4 linked regions of the Arabidopsis thaliana genome follow. The protein of the gene in region 1 interacts with the protein of each later gene in a pairwise test. Each region holds a gene or a part of one and is shown in the gene's direction. Other genes may lie near its edges.

Evidence for each region.
Region 2: the proteins of AT4G23030 (region 1) and NHX3 interact in a protein complementation assay, tested with the Arabidopsis thaliana proteins (one large-scale study listed by BioGRID).
Region 3: the proteins of AT4G23030 (region 1) and PUP16 interact in a protein complementation assay, tested with the Arabidopsis thaliana proteins (one large-scale study listed by BioGRID).
Region 4: the proteins of AT4G23030 (region 1) and GAMMA-TIP interact in a protein complementation assay, tested with the Arabidopsis thaliana proteins (one large-scale study listed by BioGRID).

What each region holds. Positions count from the first base shown.
Region 1 is NC_003075.7:12,070,838-12,075,124, forward strand, and holds AT4G23030 (MATE efflux family protein), read left to right. Parts: upstream 1-1,922; 5' UTR 1,923-2,019; coding exon 2,020-3,528; 3' UTR 3,529-3,743; downstream 3,744-4,287.
Region 2 is NC_003076.8:22,468,736-22,474,690, reverse strand, and holds NHX3 (Na+/H+ (sodium hydrogen) exchanger 3), read left to right. Parts: upstream 1-1,984; 5' UTR 1,985-2,105; coding exon 2,106-2,270; intron 2,271-2,380; coding exon 2,381-2,499; intron 2,500-2,596; coding exon 2,597-2,694; intron 2,695-2,802; coding exon 2,803-2,862; intron 2,863-2,960; coding exon 2,961-3,007; intron 3,008-3,088; coding exon 3,089-3,283; intron 3,284-3,363; coding exon 3,364-3,410; intron 3,411-3,515; coding exon 3,516-3,582; intron 3,583-3,678; coding exon 3,679-3,779; intron 3,780-3,863; coding exon 3,864-3,965; intron 3,966-4,227; coding exon 4,228-4,372; intron 4,373-4,487; coding exon 4,488-4,550; intron 4,551-4,661; coding exon 4,662-4,745; intron 4,746-4,841; coding exon 4,842-5,138; intron 5,139-5,296; 3' UTR 5,297-5,446; downstream 5,447-5,955. Other genes in the region: SVL1 (SHV3-like 1), read right to left, coding at 1-76, 276-414; AT5G55460 (Bifunctional inhibitor/lipid-transfer protein/seed storage 2S albumin superfamily protein), read right to left, coding at 5,558-5,571, 5,678-5,955. UniProt on the Arabidopsis thaliana protein: May act in low affinity electroneutral exchange of protons for cations such as Na(+) or K(+) across membranes. May also exchange Li(+) and Cs(+) with a lower affinity.
Region 3 is NC_003070.9:3,203,494-3,207,000, reverse strand, and holds PUP16 (purine permease 16), read left to right. Parts: upstream 1-1,691; 5' UTR 1,692-1,713; coding exon 1,714-2,865; 3' UTR 2,866-2,985; downstream 2,986-3,507. Other genes in the region: AT1G09870 (histidine acid phosphatase family protein), read right to left, coding at 1-37, 157-315, 430-723, 803-890, 1,084-1,184; XBCP3 (xylem bark cysteine peptidase 3), read right to left, coding at 3,126-3,212, 3,299-3,507.
Region 4 is NC_003071.7:15,443,546-15,447,139, forward strand, and holds GAMMA-TIP (gamma tonoplast intrinsic protein), read left to right. Parts: upstream 1-1,748; 5' UTR 1,749-1,944; coding exon 1,945-2,328; intron 2,329-2,419; coding exon 2,420-2,791; 3' UTR 2,792-3,076; downstream 3,077-3,594. UniProt on the Arabidopsis thaliana protein: Water channel required to facilitate the transport of water, diffusion of amino acids and/or peptides from the vacuolar compartment to the cytoplasm. Does not promote glycerol permeability. May play a role in the control of cell turgor and cell expansion.

The sequences.
Region 1 (4,287 bases):
AAGGATATTATAGATTTTTGAACATTTTTGACTATATGACATCTTTTGTCTCACAAGATATTGTTGTTTAATTACTTTGATCATATGAAGATATTGTTTCTAGAATGCATATGGATGAACAACCATTAAGTATATGCGGTAATACTGATTATAGGAAAATACGTTATAGACAGTGTGATGAGAATTAGGAACACAATTGTGTTAATGAAAAAAATTTGTTAATTTTAACCAAAACACTATTAGATTCCTCGATAACCTTGCCCTTTTTCCTTGTCAAGATTACCTTAACCTAATTTTAAGTCGACGTAAATTAATTTTCACATAATTTGTTAATGATATTTGATATTCAAGATACAATGAAAAAATACTCTGAAATTTCACATAAATAAAACATAATCAAAACATAATAAACACTTGACAACAATTTTAGTCCAAAAGGAAATCAATTCTCTTTCGTTCATATACAAAGTAACAGTAAGTTGTAACTTAGAAAATTGATCGAAAATTTGACTTGGAAACCCTAATCATTTCTAAAAATATAAATATAAAATCTCTGAAATACGTAAATTATAATTTTTTTATCATGTTATTTATATTTGTTTGTTACTTCTATATTTACATTTGTATTTATTTTTATTTCATATAGTTTATATATATATATTTTTTTCTATTTACAGTTGTTAATTTTTTTTTTTGTTATAATATAATAAACGATCGACATAGCTCGTGATAAGATAATGTTATTTTTGTTCCCCATCATCCTTAAGCTATATTAATGGTCCACATTCTATAGAGGTGAAGCATGTGACATCGTATTATATCTATGCACAAACAATAAATTCTTATCCCAAAATTAATAAACACTAATAAAAAATATTCTCTTTAAACTAATTATTATTTTCTGTTAAGTTCTCTTGAAACTAATTATGAAAGCAAGCCTTTTTTTTTGCCAAACTATAATTTTCCCCTCGATTATATGATCAATAGAGTGGTCCAATAAATTGTTTTGAAGTTTAGAAATAAGCATTAAGTAGGTATAATATTCTATATAATTCTTCTCACTTTATTGCAAGCATCAACATCGTCCCAAGTTTTATATAAAATGGTCCATAAAATTTTAAATCTTAGTATTTCGTAACAACTTGATACCAACCTCTCTGTATAGCTGCTTAATTTTCTGGTATATGATCTGTGTCCATCCCTACTAGCTTACTACTTTACTACTACTTCGAGCAGTTACTTATTTGATTTTGTAAAGAATCCATTTCGTTTTTTTTTTTTGGCACATGAAAATTACCCATAATGGTCAAATTCAATACTATTAAAAGTGAGGAAGAAACGACATGAGTCAATTTGTTACACTGGTTTATTATTTAAAGAATAGAAATCCCAAAAACGTCTCAAGTTTCAACTCTTTCTATGCTGAGTTGTATTGTATGTATGTATCTAAGTATCTAACTATAAATTAAACGAAATACAGACAATAAATTAATCGTGAATAAAAAAAATTCTTAATAAACATCCAAATATCAATATTTTCTTGGAAACTTATCTCCAAATGGAAACAAAAATCCTAATAAACGTAACCATGATTAAAAGAAAAGAGTTGCATAAACATCCAAAGAAAAACAATACTATTATATATATAAAAAATCCAAATCAACATGAAGAAAGTAAAATGATTCCAAATAGACATCCAAAAATCATATTTTCTTTAAACTTTTTTTATTGGTTTTCCACAAATGAAAATAGAATAAAATAGTGTCTCTGAATTAAGACGGAGTCGTAACAAATGACATAATGGCCGGTCAAATAAACCGCCAAAATTGTTCTGTTATAATTAAGACTAATTTCTGAGTCAAAAAACTTCTCTTGTTCCCTTAAGGGCCTTAATCACTATTAACCTTAACTAGTGACTTAATCTCAAACTTATAACACACCTTTCACACATCAACAACACCTTCTTCATCATCTCCTTTCTCTGTCTCTGTCTCTCTCTTCTCTCTCAAACCTGTAATCATGGCAGCTCCTTTGTTGATGATCATCAAGAACCAAACAGATCACCGACAAGATCCGAATCCGAACCCGACCCACCTTTCCTCTTCGATCCAAGAAGCCAAATCAATCGCCAAAATATCTCTCCCACTGATCTTAACCGGTTTACTTCTCTACTCTCGCTCAATGATCTCAATGCTCTTCCTCGGCCGTCTCAACGATCTCTCTGCTCTTTCCGGTGGCTCACTCGCCCTCGGCTTCGCTAACATCACGGGTTACTCTCTCCTCTCCGGTCTCTCTATCGGCATGGAACCCATCTGCGTTCAAGCCTTTGGCGCCAAAAGATTCAAACTTTTAGGCCTTGCTTTGCAAAGAACCACACTTTTGCTTCTCCTCTGTTCTCTTCCCATATCTATCCTCTGGCTCAACATCAAGAAGATCCTTCTCTTCTTCGGACAAGACGAAGAAATCTCAAACCAAGCTGAGATCTTTATCCTCTTCTCTCTCCCTGATCTGATCCTCCAATCTTTTTTACATCCTATCCGTATCTACCTCCGATCTCAATCGATCACTCTTCCTCTAACCTACTCTGCTTTCTTCGCAGTATTACTCCACATTCCGATTAACTACCTTCTCGTTTCTTCTCTCGGTCTCGGCCTTAAAGGAGTCGCCTTGGGAGCAATCTGGACTAATGTCAATCTCCTAGGGTTTCTAATCATCTACATAGTGTTTTCCGGTGTTTACCAGAAGACTTGGGGAGGATTCTCAATGGATTGCTTTAAAGGATGGAGATCTCTAATGAAACTAGCCATCCCTAGCTGCGTCTCGGTTTGTTTAGAGTGGTGGTGGTATGAAATCATGATTCTTCTATGTGGATTGTTACTTAACCCGCAAGCAACCGTGGCATCTATGGGAATCTTGATCCAAACCACCGCTTTGATCTACATTTTCCCTTCCTCTCTGAGTATCAGCGTATCGACACGTGTCGGGAATGAATTAGGTGCGAATCAGCCTGATAAAGCGAGGATAGCTGCGAGAACCGGACTTAGTTTAAGCCTTGGTTTAGGTTTATTGGCAATGTTTTTCGCTTTGATGGTGAGGAATTGCTGGGCAAGATTGTTCACAGATGAGGAAGAGATTGTGAAGTTGACTTCAATGGTTTTACCGATCATCGGGCTTTGCGAGCTAGGAAACTGTCCTCAGACCACATTGTGTGGAGTGTTGAGAGGAAGTGCGAGACCTAAGTTAGGAGCAAACATAAACTTGTGTTGTTTCTACTTTGTGGGAATGCCAGTGGCTGTATGGTTAAGTTTCTTTAGCGGGTTTGACTTCAAAGGACTATGGCTCGGTCTATTTGCAGCACAAGGCTCGTGCCTGATTTCGATGCTGGTCGTGTTGGCTAGGACTGATTGGGAAGTTGAGGTTCATAGAGCAAAAGAACTCATGACTAGATCATGTGATGGTGATGAAGATGATGGTAATACACCGTTTTTATTGGATTCTTTGGATATAGAAGAAAATCTTGTCTTCTAGTTTTGATTTATTGGCACTAACGAGATTCGTTTCATTGTACACTCTTCTAATTCATTATTCTAGGAGGAAACATTTGATTGTTGGATTTTCAAATTTATGTTGTGAGATATATATTGGATTTTTTTTAAAATGTAATGTTGTTGATTTGATTTGATTGTAAAAATATACTTTATTAGTATTAAACCTCATGTCATTTCAAAAAAAATATCATGGGAGTGATTTGTTGTCATGAGAATGACTTTAGAAATTGAATGTGTAAACATAAAACTATCCTTTTCAAGTGGTTCGAGTGTAATATATATGAATCTGGTTAAGCAATTAAAGGACAAGATAGAAGTTGGTTTCGTTGCCGGGAAATTCTTATGCAACAAGAAAATAAAAATAATTATTAAACACCATGTTTAGTGGTCCTCCATAGGCGCGTGACGTTTAAGGCGCGTGTAAGTAACGTAACGGAAAGAGTTGTGAAACTTTGACGACGGCGAGAAAATACTAATGTCTCCGTCAAGGTCGTCGTTTGTGACAGCCGACGCCGTGAATGACCCGGTCTCTTTGTCGTCTTCTTCGTTTACTCTCTTTTCTTCCACTAACCCGACCCGTTTCAGTGTATGTTTTTCTTTGGGGTGTTAAATTCACATGAGGTGACAAAATACCAAATTAGAGTTCAAATCTGAATAACAAAATTGTGTCCACTTGGTTATAACTTATTATAAGAATATGATATTTTGCATTATAGACTATTAAAAATGTAACAAACTT
Region 2 (5,955 bases), on another chromosome or scaffold:
AAACTGTAAGCATCGAGACTTGAATCTGGCAACAACCCAGAAAACCCACCACGAGCAATGACAAGGGGAGCATCTCCTACAAAAATGGAAACAAAATCCGATGAAACCTATAAGAAAGCTTCGATTTTTCTTTGGATGAAACTCAGAAAACCCCCAAATTTTTCTCTTTGATTTCTATGAAACGATTCAAAAGGAAGCAACTTTTCTACTGATTTATTGATTAACAGTGAAGGGTATTGAATAAATAGGAGAAGAAGGAGATAGAAGACACTAACCAGTGAGTGTTTGCCATGGACTTTTAGATCTTTGAGCAAAGAGTTGAGTAGACAGCAACTGGATCAAAATAAGAGCTAAAAATAGAAACTTTGAAGCTTGTAAGACATGCATTGTTGGATTATCTCGCATGTTTATCATCTGTAACAACCTGAGTTGTCCCGGCGGCGACTTCACCAACTTCGACCAAAAACTGAGATTTACTCAGAGAGAGAGAGAGAGAGAGAGAGAGAGAGAGCTTTTTGGTTTGTGGGATTCGAATTTATATGATCGTTGATTATTTTAAAAGGGAAAACAAAAGAACTTCGACTTTTTGTTTTTGACACATTTTTCCACTTTAAAAAGAAAACATCAACTAAAATTTTATTTTTTTGGTTTTTCATAAATAAACTAAAATGTTTTTCAATGTGTCTCCATATCTTTATTGCAGACAGAAAATATTGGGAGTGTAATTTTGACTCAATTTTTTTTTGAGAATACAAGAGTTTAATTTTCATGGGATAACTAAATAAGTTTTATTTTAAATTAGAATATAATTTTTTGATTGGTTGTCTCCAACCTAGAGAAACCAAACAATTGTTTTACATATATTTGTGTATTTATTTTTTATAGTTATGCGTTCTTCATTTATTACGACCTACTCTCTCTTTGTTTTTCTTTATTACTACCTACTTGTTTCCAAAACCAGCTAAACTATAAGCAAGCATAATAATAAACTATATAATGCATGCAATTGCAATATACATGTGTCAATCATTGGTCTTGTTATAATTAGGATTAGTGTAGAAACGGCTATTAGATATCAATTATATCCCTGCAATTTCTCCCTTAATCACTCCTATAGTAATTGGTGTATATCTGTTTTCCTCTACGGTACCAACAAATAAAAAGTCTACTGCGGGGAACGTATTTGTTTTTCTTGTTTCCTCTTCTCTTCTCTGTATATAAGAAAAATTGTATCATTCTAGTGATACTACCCATTACCCAATACGCATTCCAATAATGGCTACATTTACATATATGATATATGCATATACATATCACATATGAGCAGATTTATTATTTATCTAATATACACATTATATATCCGAATTCTATGTTTTCACGTTAATTATAATATTTACAAGTTTCTTAATTTATATTATAGCTATAATGATACTAGTATCTTAAAAAATGTTGAGAAGGCGGTGGTGGATGATCGATTAAAAGTCAGGTAGGTCCTAGAACATGGTCGTTAAAGATTACACGTGGTGAAATAGGTCGCTGAGTCACTTTTTACGTCATCAAAACACGACCAAACGAAACGATCACGTTCTAGCGTCTTGGCTGTTGCAACCGGGACCGTTACTCAGTAGAGTGTTTTATTTCGATTGGTTCGAGTCTTCACCAAATAATTCGTTGTAATAAATATTGAGTTTTCAAGTTTCATAATTTTATATAAACAGAATAAAGAACAAGAGGTAAAAATAAATTAAGGAAAAAGAACAACAATTTACGCGAGTTAGTTAGACCCAAAAAAGAAAAAAGAAAAAAATCCCCAAATCCGGTAAGAAAAAAATACATGATGAGTTAGTTTTGGGCCCTAAAAAGGCCCAAGATGCAGTACAATTCCAAAAAGCCTCACGTTTACTCAGTCTGATGACGTTGGAAACATGCCACGTGTCTTTCGTCTCCTCGCCACCTGTAACCACCGCCTTGTTCATCGCAGTTCAAATCTCTCCTCACTCTCTGACTCTTTCCTCGTCTCTCTCTCTATCGTTCTCTGTGTGCCTTCTTCGTTTGCGATTGGTGTTTTCAAAATCGACGAAATCGAAAACATTATCGAGTGAAAAATGAGTATCGGATTAACAGAGTTTGTGACGAATAAACTAGCAGCTGAGCATCCTCAGGTGATACCAATCTCAGTGTTCATCGCCATTCTCTGTCTATGTTTAGTTATCGGCCACTTGCTTGAAGAGAATCGATGGGTTAATGAATCTATTACCGCCATTTTAGTAGTAATTTTCTTCAAAATTTCTTCTTTTTTTTGTTTTAGCTAAAGTTTTGAGCTTTTCTGCTCTTAAAGAACAATTTTATCACTATTTTTGATTGGTTTTGTTGCAAGTAGGGAGCAGCATCAGGAACAGTGATCTTACTTATTAGTAAAGGAAAAAGTTCACATATTTTGGTGTTTGATGAAGAACTCTTCTTCATTTACCTTCTTCCTCCAATAATCTTCAATGCTGGGTAAGCTTACTATGGTTTTGGTTACTATGTTGTGGTTAATGGGTTAGATTACACTATGATGGTGATTGACTGAAGATTTTTTGGTTTGTTGTGGCAGGTTCCAAGTTAAGAAAAAGAAGTTTTTTCACAACTTTTTAACCATCATGTCCTTTGGTGTGATTGGAGTTTTCATCTCCACTGTCATTATCTCGTTTGGTAAAAAATATTTCATTAATCTTTGAATGACTTGACTATATGATTTAAAGTTGATTATCTCGGAGTTGTTACCATCTCTATTTTTGTTGTTTTTATAATGTGAACCAGGGACTTGGTGGCTGTTTCCCAAGTTGGGATTTAAGGGGTTGAGTGCTAGAGACTATCTTGGTAAGATTTTTCACTGATCTATGTTTCTTTTCATTTCTTGTTGAGATGGTTATTACTTATCAGTTTGCGAGAGTGAATGCTTTCTTGTTTTGATTCAGCCATAGGAACGATTTTCTCATCAACTGATACTGTTTGCACTCTACAGGTTCTTGATTTAGAAGATTCTTTGTCTTACTACTTCTTCTATTAAAAGTTTTTTCTTACATTGCATCTTAAACTTTTACAGATTCTCCATCAAGATGAAACACCATTGCTATACAGCTTAGTCTTTGGAGAAGGAGTGGTGAATGATGCAACCTCAGTTGTACTGTTCAACGCCGTGCAAAAGATTCAATTTGAAAGCCTAACCGGTTGGACGGCGCTGCAAGTATTTGGGAACTTTTTGTACCTCTTCTCAACAAGCACACTTCTCGGAATTGGTGTAAGCTATTGAGTTGGCATAGTTTTTTACTCTGTTTGAAGCATATCATGAGTAATCTTAGAACTGTGAATGTCTTGCAGGTGGGGCTAATAACATCTTTTGTTCTTAAAACCTTGTATTTTGGAAGGTAAAAGTACACCAAACTTGCAAATTTTTCATCTCAAGCTTAAGTTTTTTTTTTTTAGTGATAAGATGTGCCTTTATATTGATCTTGTTATATGGTTGCTGACAGACATTCTACTACACGCGAACTCGCCATCATGGTTCTAATGGCTTACCTTTCATATATGTTGGCTGAGGTAATACACTGGTCATGAACGCTACTTTTTAGTTTTCATTTGGAATTGAAGTGCTGCATTTCTCTGTTTTAACTCAATATAGTTGTTCTCTTGCAGCTCTTCTCATTAAGTGGAATTCTTACTGTTTTCTTCTGTGGTGTTTTAATGTCGCATTATGCATCATATAACGTGACAGAGAGCTCAAGAATCACTTCCAGGCAATGTATCAGACAATTGTTTATTCGCTGAAGTCTCAATTTGCAGGAATTGCTTTTGTCTGACTGTGCATCTATATTTTGCAGGCATGTATTTGCAATGTTGTCCTTTATTGCGGAGACATTCATATTTCTGTATGTTGGAACAGATGCTCTTGATTTTACAAAGTGGAAGACAAGCAGCTTAAGGTATAAAGTCGTATCCATTTATCAGCTGGTAGAGCGTTTAGAGTGTTTTGTCAAAACAATACACAGCATTTTGATATGAACCTCGTGTATTTCTTAAATGCATACCTAGAATCAAGATTATCCCAAAGACATCCTCTATGTCTTCTTCTCTCTTGACACGAAGTTAATCGCCAATTAACTGTTAGTTAAGCTGTGGTGGTGACTCGTTGTTTCTGAAATCTCTTCCCAATGAAGACTTGTAACATTAATCATCTTCTTGCAGCTTTGGGGGTACTCTGGGTGTCTCCGGTGTCATAACCGCATTAGTATTGCTTGGACGAGCAGCATTTGTCTTTCCACTCTCGGTCTTAACAAATTTCATGAACAGGCACACTGAAAGAAACGAGTCTATCACATTTAAGCATCAGGTTTAGCTCTTGTTTGTTACAGTTACATTATCAGAAGCACTAAAATAAAAAATTAATAATGGTCCGAGAATGGGAAAGTTTCTGTTATATAATTCTCTCTTTGTATACTTTATAGGTGATCATTTGGTGGGCAGGTCTAATGCGAGGTGCTGTCTCAATTGCTCTGGCTTTCAAGCAGGTTTTTCTCTTTGCACATTCATATTATCTCTAATCTCTATTGTATTACTTTTACATTGAATTAGTAACATTTCCATTATATCTCATTTTGGTATATCTTTCATGTGCCAAGTTCACATACTCCGGTGTTACATTGGATCCTGTGAATGCTGCCATGGTCACCAACACCACTATCGTTGTTCTCTTTACTACACTGGTAAAACAAATACTACCTTAGTATATGGCCCTACTGGTTCTGGTAGTTTTCTGTGTTAAGATCAAAAGAATGACTTCTTTGTCATGTAACAAACAGGTCTTTGGTTTCCTCACAAAACCACTTGTGAATTATCTCCTTCCTCAAGATGCAAGTCACAACACCGGAAATAGAGGTAAACGCACTGAGCCAGGTTCTCCGAAAGAAGATGCGACACTTCCTCTTCTTTCCTTTGACGAGTCTGCTTCCACCAACTTCAATAGAGCTAAAGATAGTATTTCCCTTCTGATGGAACAACCTGTGTACACCATCCACCGCTACTGGAGAAAGTTTGACGACACATACATGAGGCCTATCTTCGGTGGACCTCGTCGAGAAAACCAACCAGAATGCTAGGTATACCCTCCATTATTACCACACAAATTTATACATTTTGCAGCAAACGCACCTCACTTGATCAATAATGTGTAACCGGAATTAATAAGTACATCCGGGAAGAGGTGCCTACAATATTCATCATGATAAGCGAACAATTCTCTCTTTTTGTGTTGCAGAATTGATCCGGGTTCTCCGCGGGGAAATCATGATGAGTTAGTTTTTTTTATAGTCAAGAAAGTAGGATAGTTGGTTTAGCTAAAACAGTTTCTTAAAGTTTTTGTTAAATGTATACAACAAGGTTCTTCTATATACACAAGCTGCGATTATTACTGCGAGTTTGTAATTTATTTGGATCGGAACATAAGACATATTGTAAGACTTCAGATCAGTTGCAGGACAAGTTCGAGTGAAGTCTGCTAGAACGGTCTGTCTCCATCTCAGTTCCTCAAAGCTGCACTTACAGAACAGCAAAACGTAAGCCTTTTTTACTTCATACTTCATATTGGGATCCTACTAGTCTACCGGTTTTTAGTATCTTAATGGTATTTTGATTTTACCTTGGCAAGCAGGAGGGATTGTTGTCAGGCCACATTTGCTCAGAAGAGCCTGGACTTTAGATGGGTAAACCGCTAAAACGGGGAGAACAGACTTGAATCTGCAGATGCATTTCAGATTAGCGGCTTGGAGGAGTTCACAACACTCTTTGATTGGAGATGGCGGGTTGTCTCCAATTACGGCTGGACGACATTTTTCCAGATGGTTTGCGTTGATGTTACATGCGGTAATGCTCGTAGGTTCTTCCATCAACACCAAGGCGGCTAAAACTATTGCAAGA
Region 3 (3,507 bases), on another chromosome or scaffold:
GCTTATCCACAGCAGGCTCTTTAGCTTTTCTATAGCTCTGCAATCATAGACCATGTAAAGGAAAGAAATGCTCAGAATCGAATAAACTGAGCGACTACTATATCGAGGATGAGCCTACAATAAAAAATATATTTAGATTCATTCAATCAACTATACCTTGTAGTTTTGACAACATTCAAAAAATCTCAACTTTGTATCACTGGCACGGTTTTCGCTAGTGACAGCGAATGCTCTATTACGGCCTGGTCCCAGATTTCCTTTCTCACTGAATAACCCCATTCCAAATGCTACAGCACTTGCAGATGCCCTAGGAATCTACCAAGAGATTTAAACATTTCAGGCCAATGCTTGCAACCAAATTCTAGCGTTCACATCATCTCAAATTTTGCTGAGCAGAAACAGACATAAAAAGATTCAAAATCCACCAACCTGCGTAGCTCTTATTGTATAGACATCAGGATGGTAATCCTCTTCAAACAAACTAGGAAACCGTTCCCGAACCCGAATTCCCAGTTGGTATAACTCATCCTCCCCTTGCCTGATCAGCTCCCCACCTTTCACTTTTCCTTCCCAAGGAGATTTCCATTGTCCCAACCATCCAGGAATTTTGTCTGAAGGCAATTTCCTAGCTTCTGCATCTCTTACCAGTTCCTTAAACCTACCAGCCAAACTTTCCAATTCCCGCAATCGTTTCTTGGTCGGAGAACGAGTTCCATGCCTAGCCTAACATGTCAAAAACCACTATTTCAGTCTTTATTCTCCCTCATTGCCATTCCATTTAACCCAAATAAACTACGCTTACCACAAGGTTAAGGTGGATAGGTGTACACTCACTAGGAACATTCGACCCTTCAATCAAATTTTGGGTAACATCTTTCGAAGTAGAGTATCTGCACACCAAATTCAAATTCCCCCAAAAAATAATTAGACCTCGCTAAAGAGAACAACACAAATTTCCACCTTTTTCTGACAAAGTGGTATCAATGTTGTCAAGCAATCGGACCAATTAGACCCAGATGATAAAGTGTTGTTCTTAATTCAACTTCCTCGGGAACCACGAAATAAGAAGGATTGAGAAAGAACCTGGTGACGGTGGAGAGGTGATGACGAACATCGAAACCCTGATCTGCCTGGGAAACAACAAATAGACACAACAGTATGATCCAAACAGTCTTCGTCGCCATCTCTCACGCTTTCTAAATTCCTTCAGGAGGAAGCTTTCAAGTTTCCGATTAATCAAGCCACAAGCCACTGTTCCACTGCTTCGATTCACACGAGTTTGCTCCTTTCACGCCACGTGTTGACCCTTCACACGTCTTTTGGTTTAAGTCTTTTGGATCTCCAAGATTTTTGTAATTTTTTGGTTCAGTTCCGGTTGAAGTCGGTTTTACGGTTGGACCGATTTAAACCTGTTAGCTGTCTTTGTCTTCTCCTTTGCCGCCAAATATGCTCTTTGATATCATATAATAACCAATCTTAACAGATAATGTACTCATTAGAAAAATGTGATGAGACCTAATCAAGCAACGTTGAGTCAAAAGCATGACCATTTCGTGACCAAGACTTCGTCTCTTCTTTATCTTTCCAGATTAAAATGTGTGTTTGCACGTTAAACAATCATGAGAATGAGCTCCAGCCTCTAGGGTTTATAAGATTACTTTATATACATATTTGGACAATCCAAAGAAGAAGAAGAAGAAGAAGCAGAGACTCATGGAAGAGTTTCAAGGTCCAGAACCACGCGGCCAAATGATGAGCGAGAATCCTCGATCCTTGGAGCTCAATCAACGCAAATGGTGGATCTCTGTTTTTATCTGCGGTTTCTTGATCTTTGCCGGAGACTCTCTTGTCATGCTTCTGTTGAACTTCTTCTACGTCCAAGATAATCGATCAGAGAGTGATCAAGACCGACAATACAAAGGGACATGGACACAAGCTCTGATCCAAAACGCTGCCTTTCCGATCTTAATTCCATTCTTCTTCATTCTTTCTTCACCAAAACCAAACCCGGAAACAGTCTCCAATCAAACAAACAATGGCTGGTTTCGAGTTCTCTCGCTCTACGTTTCTCTTGGTGTTCTTGTCTCTGTTTATAGCAAGTTATACGCGCTGGGGAAATTATACGTAGGATGGGGAATTTTGTTATCAACTCAATTGATACTCACCTCCCTCTTCTCAGCTTTCATAAACCGTCTCAAGTTTAACAGATGGATCATCATATCGATAATCTTCACTCTTGGGGCTGACTTTTTTGGTGGCCCTGCCTTTGCTGGAACCCCTAATGAAGATGAAACTGATCCTTACGACATCAAGGCATGGTTGATACTCATATTCCCTACTCTTGCTTTCTCCTTGTCTCTGTGCTTAATGCAGCTCGGATTCGACAAAGTGTTGGTGAAGACAAAGAGGTATGGTAACAAGAAGGTCTTTCGGATGGTCTTGGAGATGCAAATCTGTGTTTCCTTCATCGCCACACTCATTTGCACTGTGGGTCTGTTTGCGAGTGGTGAGTTTAAGGAGTTAAAAGGCGACAGCGAGAGGTTTAAGAAAGGGAAGACTTACTACATTCTGAGTTTGGTCGGGTTGGCTCTCTCTTGGCAGGTTTGGGCGGTCGGGCTGTTAGGTTTGGTGCTTTTGGTGTCCGGTTTATTCGCTGATGTTGTTCATATGGGTGCTTCACCGGTTGTGGCTCTGCTAGTTGTGTTGGCTTTTGATTTCATGGACGATGAATTTGGTTGGCAGAGAAGAGGTGCTTTGCTAGGGGCGGTCTTGGCTCTAGCTTCTTACTTCTACTCCCTGCACACAAAAAAGAAGAAGGAGATCGCAGAACTGAACAAGAGAGAGAACAACAACAGTGAAGCTTAGTCTCTCTATAATATACATAGATGATACTCTTATTACTTTATGTGTCTTGCAGATACAAATACTGTGCTTGTCCTGCAAGTGTCCTTTATTGACTCAGAAGTTGTATACATCCAAATGAGAGACTAAAAATACATCCGTGATGATATCGTATATATCTATCTCAATAACAGCTACAAATAATCCCCTCGCAGATAATCGAATCTACGAGGTTTTTGTATGGATGAGTTTGAATTTTCTGTAACATGTGCGTAAAACTTCTCTCACATAACCCATTCCTCAAATCGGCCAAGTTGTTTTGAAGAATTCTTCTTCCAGAAGGGCTTGATCGCAGTGAAATTACCAGTTTTCTGTCAGAAAAGAAATAGCTTCATCAGTCAACAAAACATAGAAGTAGGCATCGTGATCAGTATGCATATATCCACAGCTAAAATACCTTAAGGCAGAGACTTCTGGTTGTATCACAAACAGGGTAATCATGTGGACAACAATGACGACCATCCTTGCAACACACAGCGGATTCTATCTCGCAGCATTTCCATGAGAAGCATAAACCAAACAATTCTCTTGCACAGCAACAAGTCTCTCCAGATGAACAATACGTGAAAAGGTTGCATTTTGTAGGGCCAGGAGGGGACGGTGGAG
Region 4 (3,594 bases), on another chromosome or scaffold:
CCAAAAATGATTGTTCTCAATCAAGTTTTAAATAAGAAGGAGAAAAAGTCAACAAGGAAATGCACCAATCAATAAAGTGTCACCAAATATATGAGGAATTCCGATGATTAGCTAGCGTTTTGAAAATACTTCGGCTACTAGCTATGTTTTTGAGAAGTACGTACATGTGGTTGGTAAAAGAATACTGGAACATTGTCACTAGAACGTTCGTGATTGTACGCAGTATTCATGCCAGTTGATGTTGTGCACCATCAATGTTCATTATGTGAACCACCCAAAAAGGCAAAAACAATGGATCATCCACCTAACAATCCACCCCAATCTAGGTAGTTCTAAAATCACACGACTTACATCAAAGGAAAAGTTTCACATGTTTATCAATCACAGGTCACAGTATGTTTGAAAGAGATGATAGAAAAAAGATATCAAATTTGTCCCGTGTTGATAGGAAAGTTGGTTTGGTATCGTATTATAATTTTCTCTACACACACACGACTCATGTTTCATGTGTTAAAAAAAAAAAGCAATCGTTTTAATCCCTTCCAATTTATATAAATCTGCGGGCTCTGTTTTTATATAAAGAAAATTGGATCAGTTGTATGAACTTCGAACTGTGCAAAAAACTTCAAAATGGTTCAACTATTTTGTCAAGGCTTGTAAAATAAATAAAAATTAGCACACTGTTAAAATTTGTAGTATTATATTTAAAAAAAAAAAAGATCAAATTAAACAAAAGAAAAACGAAATTATCACGTCTTTTATTTATTATTATTTTAAATAAATAATATGACATTTTAAATTTTGTTTGGAAATTAATCACTTTCTGGCAGTACCTCTCAGCCGAATTGTAAACCTAAACCGCCCAAAAGGGACAGATTGCATCGTGGTGGTAGGACATTCATAAATTATTATTTTTCCTTAAGTGGAGGGCCGTCACACAATACTTTTTGCCCAATAGATAATTGGCCCACAAAATAAAATGCTAAAATAAATATATAATCTTTCTGTATGATTGTGAAAAAATGTGAGATTGTCTCGAATGTTAAAATTTGGTGCCACAAACAATATAAATATATAATCACAGAAAAATTGGTGCCACAAACAAGATAACATCTTATAATTTTCTCGTATACTTGGAGAGCGAGTTGAAAGAATTGCGATTAGAATAAAGCGTAGTGATTTGGCATTGAATATCATTTATGCTACATAATTCTACTTAGCGATAATATAAAAAAATATCATAACTTATGGTTAGCATGTAATGTCACTATACGAATATCAAATTCATAAAACTAGCCGTGACTTATCTACACAGAATTATTTATGTTTCGAGAATAAAGACCCAAGAGAAAACAACGACATTATAACAAAAAAACAACGACAGATTATAAGTAAGGAAGAAACAAATGACTATAGATTAGATATGAAATATTTTTAGTAACCATCTTTAGTTATAATTTTTGTTTTGGAGCTTGCTCCGTATACTCAGTTGAGTATTTTTACCACACATATATCAAGACTAAATTCTACCACTAATCAAGTAAAAACCTCTTAGCAAAATAGTTGGAGAAAAACAAGAATAAAATCGTATTATTTTCCTCTAGAACTATCGATCATTCGAGAGAGAGAATATGAAAAAGGGACAAAAGCTCTATACATGTACAAACATGACAAGTCATTATCCGCCACGTAGATTGGTCGGTTCCGCTTCGCTGGAATTATAGCGATGTACTTGTTTAGCCTGTTTTCAAAATTATTTAAATCTCTAACCGCTCCAATCAAATAATTTCTCCACCAAATATTAATAATATATCATCCGGTAACCGGTCACCAAAATGGCGCCACCTCAGATATAAGTAAGAGCACATAGTAGACCAGAAAAAATCATCAAATCCATCTCCCACTCTTCTAGCATCTTGAAGCTTAAATCTCAGCCGTCCGATCATGCCGATCAGAAACATCGCCATTGGCCGTCCAGATGAAGCCACCCGTCCCGATGCCTTAAAGGCGGCGTTGGCTGAGTTCATTTCAACTTTGATCTTTGTCGTCGCCGGTTCAGGCTCTGGCATGGCTTTCAACAAGCTCACTGAAAACGGAGCCACCACTCCTTCTGGTCTCGTAGCTGCTGCAGTGGCTCATGCCTTTGGACTCTTCGTCGCTGTCTCAGTTGGTGCCAACATCTCTGGTGGACACGTTAACCCTGCCGTCACTTTCGGTGCTTTCATTGGTGGTAACATCACTCTCCTCCGTGGTATCCTCTACTGGATTGCTCAGCTTCTCGGCTCCGTCGTCGCTTGCCTCATCCTTAAATTCGCCACCGGTGGCTTGGTATGTCAAACTACCCTTTAGCCCTTTATTAGATCTCTTTTTGGACCTAACTTCTTTGTCAAGTAACTAATTAACCTTTTGAAAATTTTAGGCTGTGCCGGCTTTTGGTCTCTCTGCTGGAGTAGGAGTGTTGAACGCTTTCGTTTTCGAGATCGTGATGACATTCGGGCTTGTTTACACCGTCTACGCTACAGCCATTGACCCCAAAAACGGGAGTCTTGGAACAATTGCTCCCATCGCAATCGGTTTCATTGTTGGAGCCAACATCTTAGCTGGAGGAGCTTTCTCTGGAGCCTCCATGAATCCCGCCGTGGCTTTCGGACCAGCGGTGGTGAGCTGGACATGGACCAACCACTGGGTCTACTGGGCCGGACCTCTCGTCGGCGGTGGAATCGCTGGACTCATCTACGAAGTTTTCTTCATCAACACCACACACGAGCAGCTCCCAACCACAGACTACTGAATTAATCTCTCTTTTTCTCTCTTGTGTAATTTTATTCGACTTTGAATTTGAATTTTAATGTCTTTTTAATTTCCGTTTGTGTAATTTCGAATCATCAAGGGGTTTATGATCGTTCGATCTTTTAGATGAATCCTTGTCCGTTGGTTTCAAGAGTGGCCATTGCAATTTCGACTATATAATGTGAATTATGTATCAATCTCATCTTAAGTTTTCAAGTGTTGCAATATCTCTTTTTGCCATTTTGTCAAACTTTTAAATTCCACATCAGTCTTATTACACATTAACTTTATTTATGACCGAATTTATAAGAAATGAGTAAACAAATTATGAGTAATAAAAAAATATGATATATAATTATATATATTTTTTAAAAAAACTAGAATTTGATACAAGTTTCGATCTATTTACGTCTAACAAAATTCACCATATCTTTAACAAAAAAAAAAAAAAAAAAAAAAAAGAAGAAGACAAATTAAATTCACCATATGTATATGTAAAAATTTGAAAGTTGGAATGGTTGGCGTTTTGCAATAAGGGAATAAAATGATATTGTAGGGGTCAGTCAGTGAGGGTTACTAGTCAATCAATACTCAATAGTGAATACGGCTTTTCTTTTTTTTATGTTGCTTTGTATTTGCATTTTGCAAAGGGTGTGAATTTAGAAAAATAAGATCCAATGAGAAAGATTAATCTGTTTTCCTTTTACTTATTTTAAGCAGTAAGATTGTTTTGCAATAGAGATCTCAAGTCTCAACCATACTTGTCAAACAGGTCCGACCAAAATCAAGACATGATTCGATGAG